2 linked regions of the Mus musculus genome follow. The protein of the gene in region 1 purifies or fractionates together with the protein of each later gene. This does not show direct contact. Links are inferred from orthologs where the notes say so. Each region holds a gene or a part of one and is shown in the gene's direction. Other genes may lie near its edges.

Region 1 (4,133 bases):
AGCCTTTAGCCACTGTGAGGCAGGGTCACAGGATAGATGACCAGTGAGTGAAGGCCTCAGGGTTCCTGGGAACAGCGTAGGTGGAGAGTGCAGCCTGCCCTGCCCTGCCCTCCGCTGGCTACAGGCTGTGCTGAACTCCGTGGTGGTCACGTGGGGGTGGACTCCGTTTACTCCAGCCTGTGCTCTGAGAGGTGCTTGCTGAGAACTCCTTAGTTTGTCCTGTAGAGCAAACATTATTCCTCCACAGGGCCACCAGGCAGGCTAGCTTTCTTCCCTGTCTCCAACTGAGTCGTTTGTGCTTTGTGCTGCTGTAGACAGTATTGGCACCTGTGATAAGTCTCAGAACCTTCCTAGTCCTCCAACTCTGGAAGGACAGTGTTAAAATATTGAGTGCTGTGAACCAAGGACACACATTTTACACTGAGAAAAATGAGGAGGGGACGGCAAGGGGGGCGAGCAGGGAACTGAAGACAGGCAGCTAAGATCCTGAGAGCTTAGCCCAGGGCAGCGCACCTCCAAACATTAGTTATGGGTACTTGGAGTTTGAGGCAAAACTAGCTCTGTTTTAGCAGTTCCTGTGTGAGCCTGTGCCCTTACCCCGTGCCTTACTTAATCTTGGCTCCTGGGCCTCTGAGGCAAGGCTTTGAAGCTCTGATCTGAGGCTAAATCCACTGTTTCCATCTTGTTCAGTACTAGCCTGGGGGGAAGGGGGGGGCCTCCTGGGGCTGATCTCCAGGCCACCTTACAGTGGGTAGAGATGGGGATGGGGGGCGACTGACCCAGGGCACCCACACTGTAGAGAAAGCACCCCTTCTCCAGGCCCGCCACTCCCTAGCAGTCAGTCTTAAGTTCCATGCTGACCTTGTTCTAACTGCCCAAGCCAGACAGGTCTCCAGGCAGAGGCACCTGGAACAATCCTGGCTTTGTTGCGAAGAAGAAGAATCTTGTCCCTGAATTTACAATCTGTTGCTCAGTGTCTAACCTCTCCAGCCCTGGAGACGGAACGGCACAGAGACTCTGGGAGAACGAGGCAGAGGGCAGAGGCCCACAGCTGGTGGTCAGCATTCGCAGCAACTCCCGCGTGTGAGGGAGGCAGGCAGGGATTCGGGGCGCGCGGGGCGCCACCGGGGCGCAGGCGGTTCGGCCGTTCCTACTGCGGGCCTGGTCTGAGGTTTCTCCCCGCGATGGGCTCACTAAGCCGGCAGGTAGGCAGTGCCGTGGCGGCGGCAGCAGGCGGTCCTGGAATGTGCGAGGGGCGTGATGACAGCGACTGCCGCCGGCCTCTTTGCGCAACACCTTCGCTGTATATATACCGGGCGCTCAGCTGCGCTCCACCTGGGTGCCTCCTGCTGTCCCTTACCTGCGAAGGGAGCGCTGGTGAGTACACCGGTCGGCCGCTACCGCCGGCTGCTTCTGATCTCAAGGACCTACACTGAATTTTTAAGTGACTTCATTCTTGTAGACACCCCTAAGGGACTTGACTGGCTCTGGGCTGCAGAGGAGGATATGAGAGCACATCATCTTAAACTTTCAGATTTTTTTTAAAAGATGGTTGTGATTGCTGTCAGGACAACTCTTAGAACTAGTGTAGGTGGACATGCCTCACCTGCTAGCTGTGTCTGTGGCTTGGGGTGGGAGGATCTGCCGGGCTGGCCTCATGCTTGGTCTGGGTTACTACCCGTGTGACTCCCTGACGTGCAGTGGCCCTCTTCATGACACCTGGGTCTTTTCCTGCAAGTTCTAGGTTTGCTCTGGCTGCTGGAGGATGCAGACCCTTCTGGGGGGACTTGGCCAAAAGCTTTTGCCCTTCAGATGTCTTGAGCAGGATTTGATTTCTGGTTCTTAAGGCAGAGGGATATGCACAGGGTCGGAGGAGACAGTATGCTCAAGCCAGAGGAGGAGTGCCCGTTTTGGAGTTAAAGTTCCAGAGGGACAGGTGCCTGCCATAGGTACTGTGGGCATTTTCTTAAAACCCGTGGATCATCGGTCCTGTACTTTGGGGGCGGGGGGAGGTCCTTTCAGGAGAGTTTTGTGCTAGCAGGGTGGCTCTGTCATCTGTCTGCTTTCCTGTCTTGTAGACTGAAACTTGTTCTCAGTTAGGCATTTCTGGAAAACCTGAGCCTCCCCACAGTAAGCATTGTTTGGGACTAGGAGACCGTCTTATCCTATGCCAGCTGATAATGACCTTTTCTGTTTTACAAGCTTTTGTAAGCCGGGGCAAGAAGGGCAGGCTTTGTAATAGTTTTGGATGCTACACAAGTTACCTCCCTCCCTTACCCCTCCCCTACCCCTCCAGGGTACCACGACTCAGGCACAGAATAGCCTGAGTTTATGAAAAAGAAAACAACAAAACAAAACACCCCAAAACAGTATTTGAGGGATCTGATTTGGAGTATACTAGATTTCAATAAAGATTGTCGCATACATAGGTTTACAAATTTAGCTTTTAACTCCCCCAAACAGGGCAGAATAGTTACAGGTCAACTAACTGACAGCCTAAGGATTGAACTCAGAATCTTATGCTTCGTAGTGGCTGTTCTGAGCTACATAGCTAGCCTTTGGGTTTTTGAGATGGAGTGTTGTGTAGGTCCTATTAGTCCTTTTTTAAAAAGATATTTATTTATTATATGTAAGTACACCGTAGCTGTTTTCAGACACACCAGAAGAGGGTGTCCAATTTCATTACAGATGGTTATGAACCACCATGTGGTTGCTGGGATTTGAACTCGTGACCTTCAAGAAGGGTAGTCAGTGCTCTTAACTGCTGATCCATCTCTCCAGACCTCCAATTAGTCTTGAATTAGTTAGGTCTCCGCCTCCCCAAGTGTGTGCTGGGATTATAGACTTGACCTACCACACCTGACTGAAATTTACTTTACAAATTTAAAAAGGTATTGTAGCAGCCTGTGTGAGCACAAGTTTGTAGTGTTAGGCTAAATATCTTAAATAGTATCTTTCACCTAAAATCTAAAACTAAAAGCCATTCTCTAATTGCAAGACCTAGAAGCAGTCTGCCCTCTCCCCCTTGTTTTTTAGCAAGTACGTGTTGTAGCCCAGACCATCCTTGAGACCTGTGATAATCCTGCCTCAGCTTCTGCAGCCTTGGGCTTTCAGGCATGCACCACTAGTGCCACACCCCTCTGCTCACACCCCTCCCTCCTCTTCAGGGGATTATTCTGAGGCTTACAGGAAGCCAAGGGGCAGCAGCAGCCCTCCACCTTCAGTGGCTCTGGGTTATTCTGCCAAAAGCAGAAGAACTCCTCAGGCCTTAACATTAGCTGTGTGGAGTTCTTCTGTGTCCAGAGCTGCTTTCATTCTGACTTTGAACATTTTTCTGTATCTCAGGTTTCCTCTCTCGGGTAGTCCTACAGTTAGTACTAAATGGTAAGCATAAAGCAGATCTCTCCCTCTGTGTTAAAAGTTGGCCTCAGGTCACCATTAGCTGAGTTTGGTGCTAAACTCCTGCAACTTTGAGCCTGAGATGGAAGAATTGCCCTGACTTCTATGGATTATATGGTGTATCTGACCGTCCACCAATTAGAAACAATGAGACAACCCTGAAAATGCTGGACAGTGAAGTGAGTTAATCTGTGTACAGGACTTATGCCAGAGCCTGTACACAGAGCCTGTCAGTCTCAATTGATGTTGGGCTGCCTGTCAGTGACAACTGCTCTCCTTTACTTCAGTGGTCATTCTTGTGCTATGGCCATAGCTGGTGAGAGGACACAGGACCACGGGCATGGGCTGATTCACTTTTTCATCCCTGGATCTTAGCTGGGCAAGCTCTGAAAACAGCTGGTCCCAGTCAGGTCCTGGTTGGAGAAGCTCAAAGAATGCAAAGTGAAGGGCGTGGATGGCAGCCAGGTGCCTCACATTTCCCAGTTTGAGTCCTAGAAGAGCCCAGAGGTTTCCCCTTCTGAGCTTGCCAGGAGGACTGACTTCCTCTTGGCATTGTGTGTGCCTGTGTGAAATGGAGCCAAGAGTGAGGCCCACAGCTCTGTAGAAGTGGGCCTAGGGTAGCCACAGGACCTGGGGCCCTTGTGATCATTCTTGGTCTAGTTGGGCAATTGATACCTTGTTAGATTCAATGTTTCTTCCTCAAAGCCTGCTGCTCTGGCAGGTAGCAAGAGTGA
Region 2 (4,259 bases), on another chromosome or scaffold:
GTAAACATGTGAGCAATCAAAAGCAAAATCAAAAACAGTGTCTTTTGCTATGAGCACAAGGAAGTCAAGTCGACAGTATTATCAACATTAGATGTTTATATCTGGCAGCAGCCCACAGGAGGCTTGGATAAAACTGAAGCCTACTGTGGGTCTGAGGCAGTGGGGCAGAGATATGTACACAGCTAGAGTCCTGGGTGTTAGAGCTGTCCACATTGACTCTCACTGACCTGACGCTCACCAAGGAAGCCAAGCTGATCTTCAAGCCCCAAGAACTTAGCTGTTTCTGTGCCCCCAACATGAGATCACAAGTCTGTGCCACCTTGCCCTGCTTTTCTTTTTAAACTCAGGTTCTGTGCATCAAACGCAAACAGATCCTCTTGCTTATATCTGGACCCCCGCTGCCAAGTTTGCGTGGCAGTCACTGTGACCATGAAGCCATCTCCCCAACCTGGTTATGGTAGAAAGATCCAAGCTTTCAGTGATGTTTTATTTATTTATTTTGTTTGTTTGTTTGTTTGTTGAAACGGTCTTGATTTGTAGTCCAGGCTGGTCTTAACCTCTGTCCCGGAATTACGAGCCTAAGTCGCCCTTCTCAGTTCCCTAACCTAATGTATACTGTTGCTCCAGACCTCAGTTTTATTTTTAAACTAAATTAATTACTTCAGTTTGAGTCAGGGTCCAAGAAGCCCATTCTGCCTTTGAACTCCTGGTCCCTGTGCACACCACCACAGCTAGTTATTTACTGGGAGTGGGAACCGGGGCTGGGCTTCTTAATCCTAGTCAATCACTCTGCTCACATCCCAGCCAGATTCCTCTGCTCTTTATTCCACCAGCCTGTCTCAAGTCCCTCCCACATTCTTTTCCCCTCTGGGAAAGTCCAGCTTGGGGCTGCCTTCCTCAGGGTGTCAGTTCAGATATCATCTTTTCAGGCCAACTTCCTTCACTGTATCCTAAAACCCTGTAGGAGTCACGCAGTGGATTAACACTGGGTTTTCAGTGATTCCGTAAACAGCATGTTTTGTTTGTTTGTTTGTTTGTTTGCTTGTTTTTTAATTAATACTAGGCTCACCAAACAGAGATCCTGCTCTTGTCGGTTATCACTCTACTAATTCAAGGTGGGGGTGTGCAGAGGCATGTGAGCAGTGGGATGAATACAGGGTGTTGGCTGTCTTGTTCCCTTCTGAGTTTCGGTTTGATATCTAATGCTCATACCAAGTAAACCACGGCCGGGCTGTGCTGTCTGCCTAAGAACTTCCTTTATCAGTATTTATTTATTTATTTATTTATTTATTTATTTATTTATTTATTTATTTATTTATTTATTTAGCAGGGTCTTACGGATCCCCCTGCCTCTACCAAAAACCCGGCTTTAACAGGGTTTCTTAACTGGGGTCTGATGCGGAAGGGTAGGCACCGTCTCCTCTGTGGACATCTCCCCATCCCGGAGGAACCTGGTGCACGCAAGGTCCGACTTCTCAGCGCCAGCCCTGGGGACAGCCCCTTGGGCTAAGCCAGTCCAGCGCGGAGGGGGAGCTCTGGCACACAGCAGCGCCGCGGCAGGTGTCCGGTCTCCAGGGGTGGGTGCAGCCGCAGAAAGCCGCGGCTGAGCACTGCAGCCATCTTCGGGGTGGAGGCGGAGAAGGGGCGCGGCCTTGGCCCAGAGCCGCCCCGCCAGAGAGGCTCACCGCGGACTTCCCTGCTCTAGCGGCGCCCGGCCGCGCAGAGGCCGCCATGGGCTGTGCGCGCTGGCTGGCGCTGGGCGGCCTCCTGGCCCTGGCAGGGCTGTTGCAGGCCCGGCTGCTGCTCCCGCAGCAAGCGGGCTTCGGCGAATGCGACCGTTTCTTCTACAAGGGGACCCCACCCGCCGGGCTGGCGACCGAAGCGCACGTGAGGATCTGTCAACGCTTCGCGGGCTCCGAGCGCTTCGCCACTCTGTACAGTCCTGGCCACCGCATCCCCGTGTTCTCCGCGTTTCGCGCTGCGCGCCCGGCGTCCCGCAGTGCCGAGCAGCGCGGGCTGCTGGAGCCGCAGGTAAGCAGGACTCGGGAGAACCGGGATCTGAAGTTCAGATCTACCCCCCAGCGTCTCCCCATCCCCAAACTGCAGCCTGCCTTGCCTGGGTGGGAGTCTCCACTTAAGCCGCAGGGGCGGGAGGTTCCCCGAGGAGATGGCCCTCCCTCCTCTTGGGCTCAGACGTCTGCAGTGTCTGGTTGGTTTCCTGGGTAGTAGAGAACATGAACTGGGAGACAGCCCTTGGTGGCCAAGACCGGGCAGATCCGCGGGAAGCACAAGCTTCCCAGGCCCGCCCACATCCCCTCAGCAACATTTGGGCGGTGGGCAAGTTCACCCCACTTTACAGGAAGCAGCTCCAGACAAGGAGGGGTGAAGGAGCTTGCAGAAGACCACCCAGCTGGTGAGATGAGTGAGCTGGTCTTGAGGCTAGAAAATCACTGCCCTTTCTGCTAGGGGAAAGCTTCTGACAGTGCAAGGACTTTGGGAAGCTCAGTGGGGGTAGTACCCACGCAGAAAGGACAAACCAGTTTTTCCTGAATCTTCGTATCTGTAGATTATCAGACCATTGCAATCAAGTGACCTTTCACAGTGTTGGGTCTGTCTGGCGGCAGGGATCAAACACCGAGAAAGCCTTCCATGGGCCATACAGAAACTGCTGACTGGCTCTCCTCTGCCAGGTCTCCGCAGTAAGACACCCTGTCCTGCCTCTCTGACTTCTCCCCAGCCTTCCAGCCCTGTGTGTCCCAGAGCCCTTGGTTCCTGCCGGCCACCAATACAAAGCTTCTGGCTTTCAGGTGTCTCCACCTGAAAGTATGGATTGTACCTTGGTCATATTTCCAGCTACCATTGGCCAGGCAGGTTTCAGGCAGTCTGCACCAATATTACCTTCTCACATCCTCCTGTGTCCAGCGTCCTGCTGTAAGGATCTCTGAGCTCAGGCCAGTAGAAAGAGTTCTTAGCTTGTGCATATAGGGAAGATATGTGCCGATCTAAACTTACTTTCCCTCAGTATACCCCTAGAAGTTCTTTATGTACCCCTGGTCTGGGAAGAAAGCAGCAACCCAGTCCATTCTCATTAAGTTCATTAGTGGCTAGAGTGGACAAACATAACAGGGTGAAGTCCTGCGAATGCTGAATATACCCAGTGACCAACTGCTGCCTCCCTGTGTGCATTCAAATCCTGCTTCCTCGAGACTAGCAGTTGACCCTGTTGACTGGTGTGGACTCCAAGTTCTCCAGTGACCCATAATACTAGCTGCTGCTGTGATGCTCAGAAGACACATAATTTCACCAAGGTAAACAGAGTCCTGGTAGATTTAATCTGTTGGTAACGTGATAGGGGAAAGCTTAGGGTCTGGTTGGCATTTGTGCTGAGTGTGGAAGGATTAGCAGGGTTCAGGAGAGAGGAAGAAGGAATTTCAGAGTGGTATTGTATGAGATGGGTGTGGCAGATTCTTGGATCATTGCTTGGGAATGAGTGGAGCAGGTAAACTAATACTGGATTATGCGCCCCGGAACCGAGGGACTCAAAGAGCAATCATGGGAGGGAGGAGCAGGTGAAGGAGTCACCAAAGGAGACTTAGGCAGAGCCTTGGACCTGTTATTAAGAGAGTCACAAGGAACAGTGTTTGACAGGGAGGCTGTGGGCACCCTGGGTGGAGTAAGGGGATGGGGGAGGAGAGCTAAAGGGAATAGTTTCTAAGGGCAGCTGGAGCTGTGAGATGTCCTGACTTCCGAACAGTCCTGGAGGCCTGCGCTGTGGCTCAGAGGGAAGAGTGTTTGCCCAGCATGCACTTAGCCATATTTGTTTAACCCCCAATACTGCATAAAAGGTGGTCACCCATATAGTTCCAGCACTCAGCTCAGATTGTGAAGGTCATCCTCAGGCTGCATCGTGAGTTCTAGGCCAGCCTGGGCTACATGAGACTGTCTTAAAACAGACAAGTTGAGCAAGCCATGCCCTTCGAAAGTTGCCAAGGCTGAGAACTGAGGCTGCTTTTCTCTGCATCATGGTGGGCTCCACAGTAACCTACCTTGAAGTCAACAAGGGGATCCAAAGAACACTGAAGGGAAGGGGAGGGCAGTGGAGGGAGGGGAAAGGAGGGAGGAGACAGAAATGCAGGTGGTCTCTGGAGCTGTTTCTACTTCTGTTTCAACACCAGCCTCTGAGCCAGTGCCTAACTGTAAGTCCTGCTCAGGGATCTGTGTGCTTCTAGATGCTTCCAAGTAGTTTCTATTGCCAATCC

What was found.
Region 2: the proteins of Slc34a2 (region 1) and Endod1 purify together in Homo sapiens (co-immunoprecipitation; 3 studies listed by BioGRID and IntAct, counting the BioPlex papers as one, with this or other methods). This does not show direct contact. The link is inferred for Mus musculus from reciprocal best matches to the Homo sapiens genes SLC34A2 and ENDOD1.

The regions. Positions count from the first base shown.
Region 1 is NC_000071.6:53,048,020-53,052,152, forward strand, and holds the start of Slc34a2 (sodium-dependent phosphate transport protein 2B), read left to right. Parts: upstream 1-1,333; 5' UTR 1,334-1,377; intron 1,378-4,133. UniProt on the Homo sapiens protein: Involved in actively transporting phosphate into cells via Na(+) cotransport.
Region 2 is NC_000075.6:14,378,443-14,382,701, reverse strand, and holds the start of Endod1 (endonuclease domain-containing 1 protein precursor), read left to right. Parts: upstream 1-1,459; 5' UTR 1,460-1,731; coding exon 1,732-2,031; intron 2,032-3,211; exon of another isoform or gene 3,212-3,308; intron 3,309-4,259. UniProt on the Homo sapiens protein: May act as a DNase and a RNase. Plays a role in the modulation of innate immune signaling through the cGAS-STING pathway by interacting with RNF26.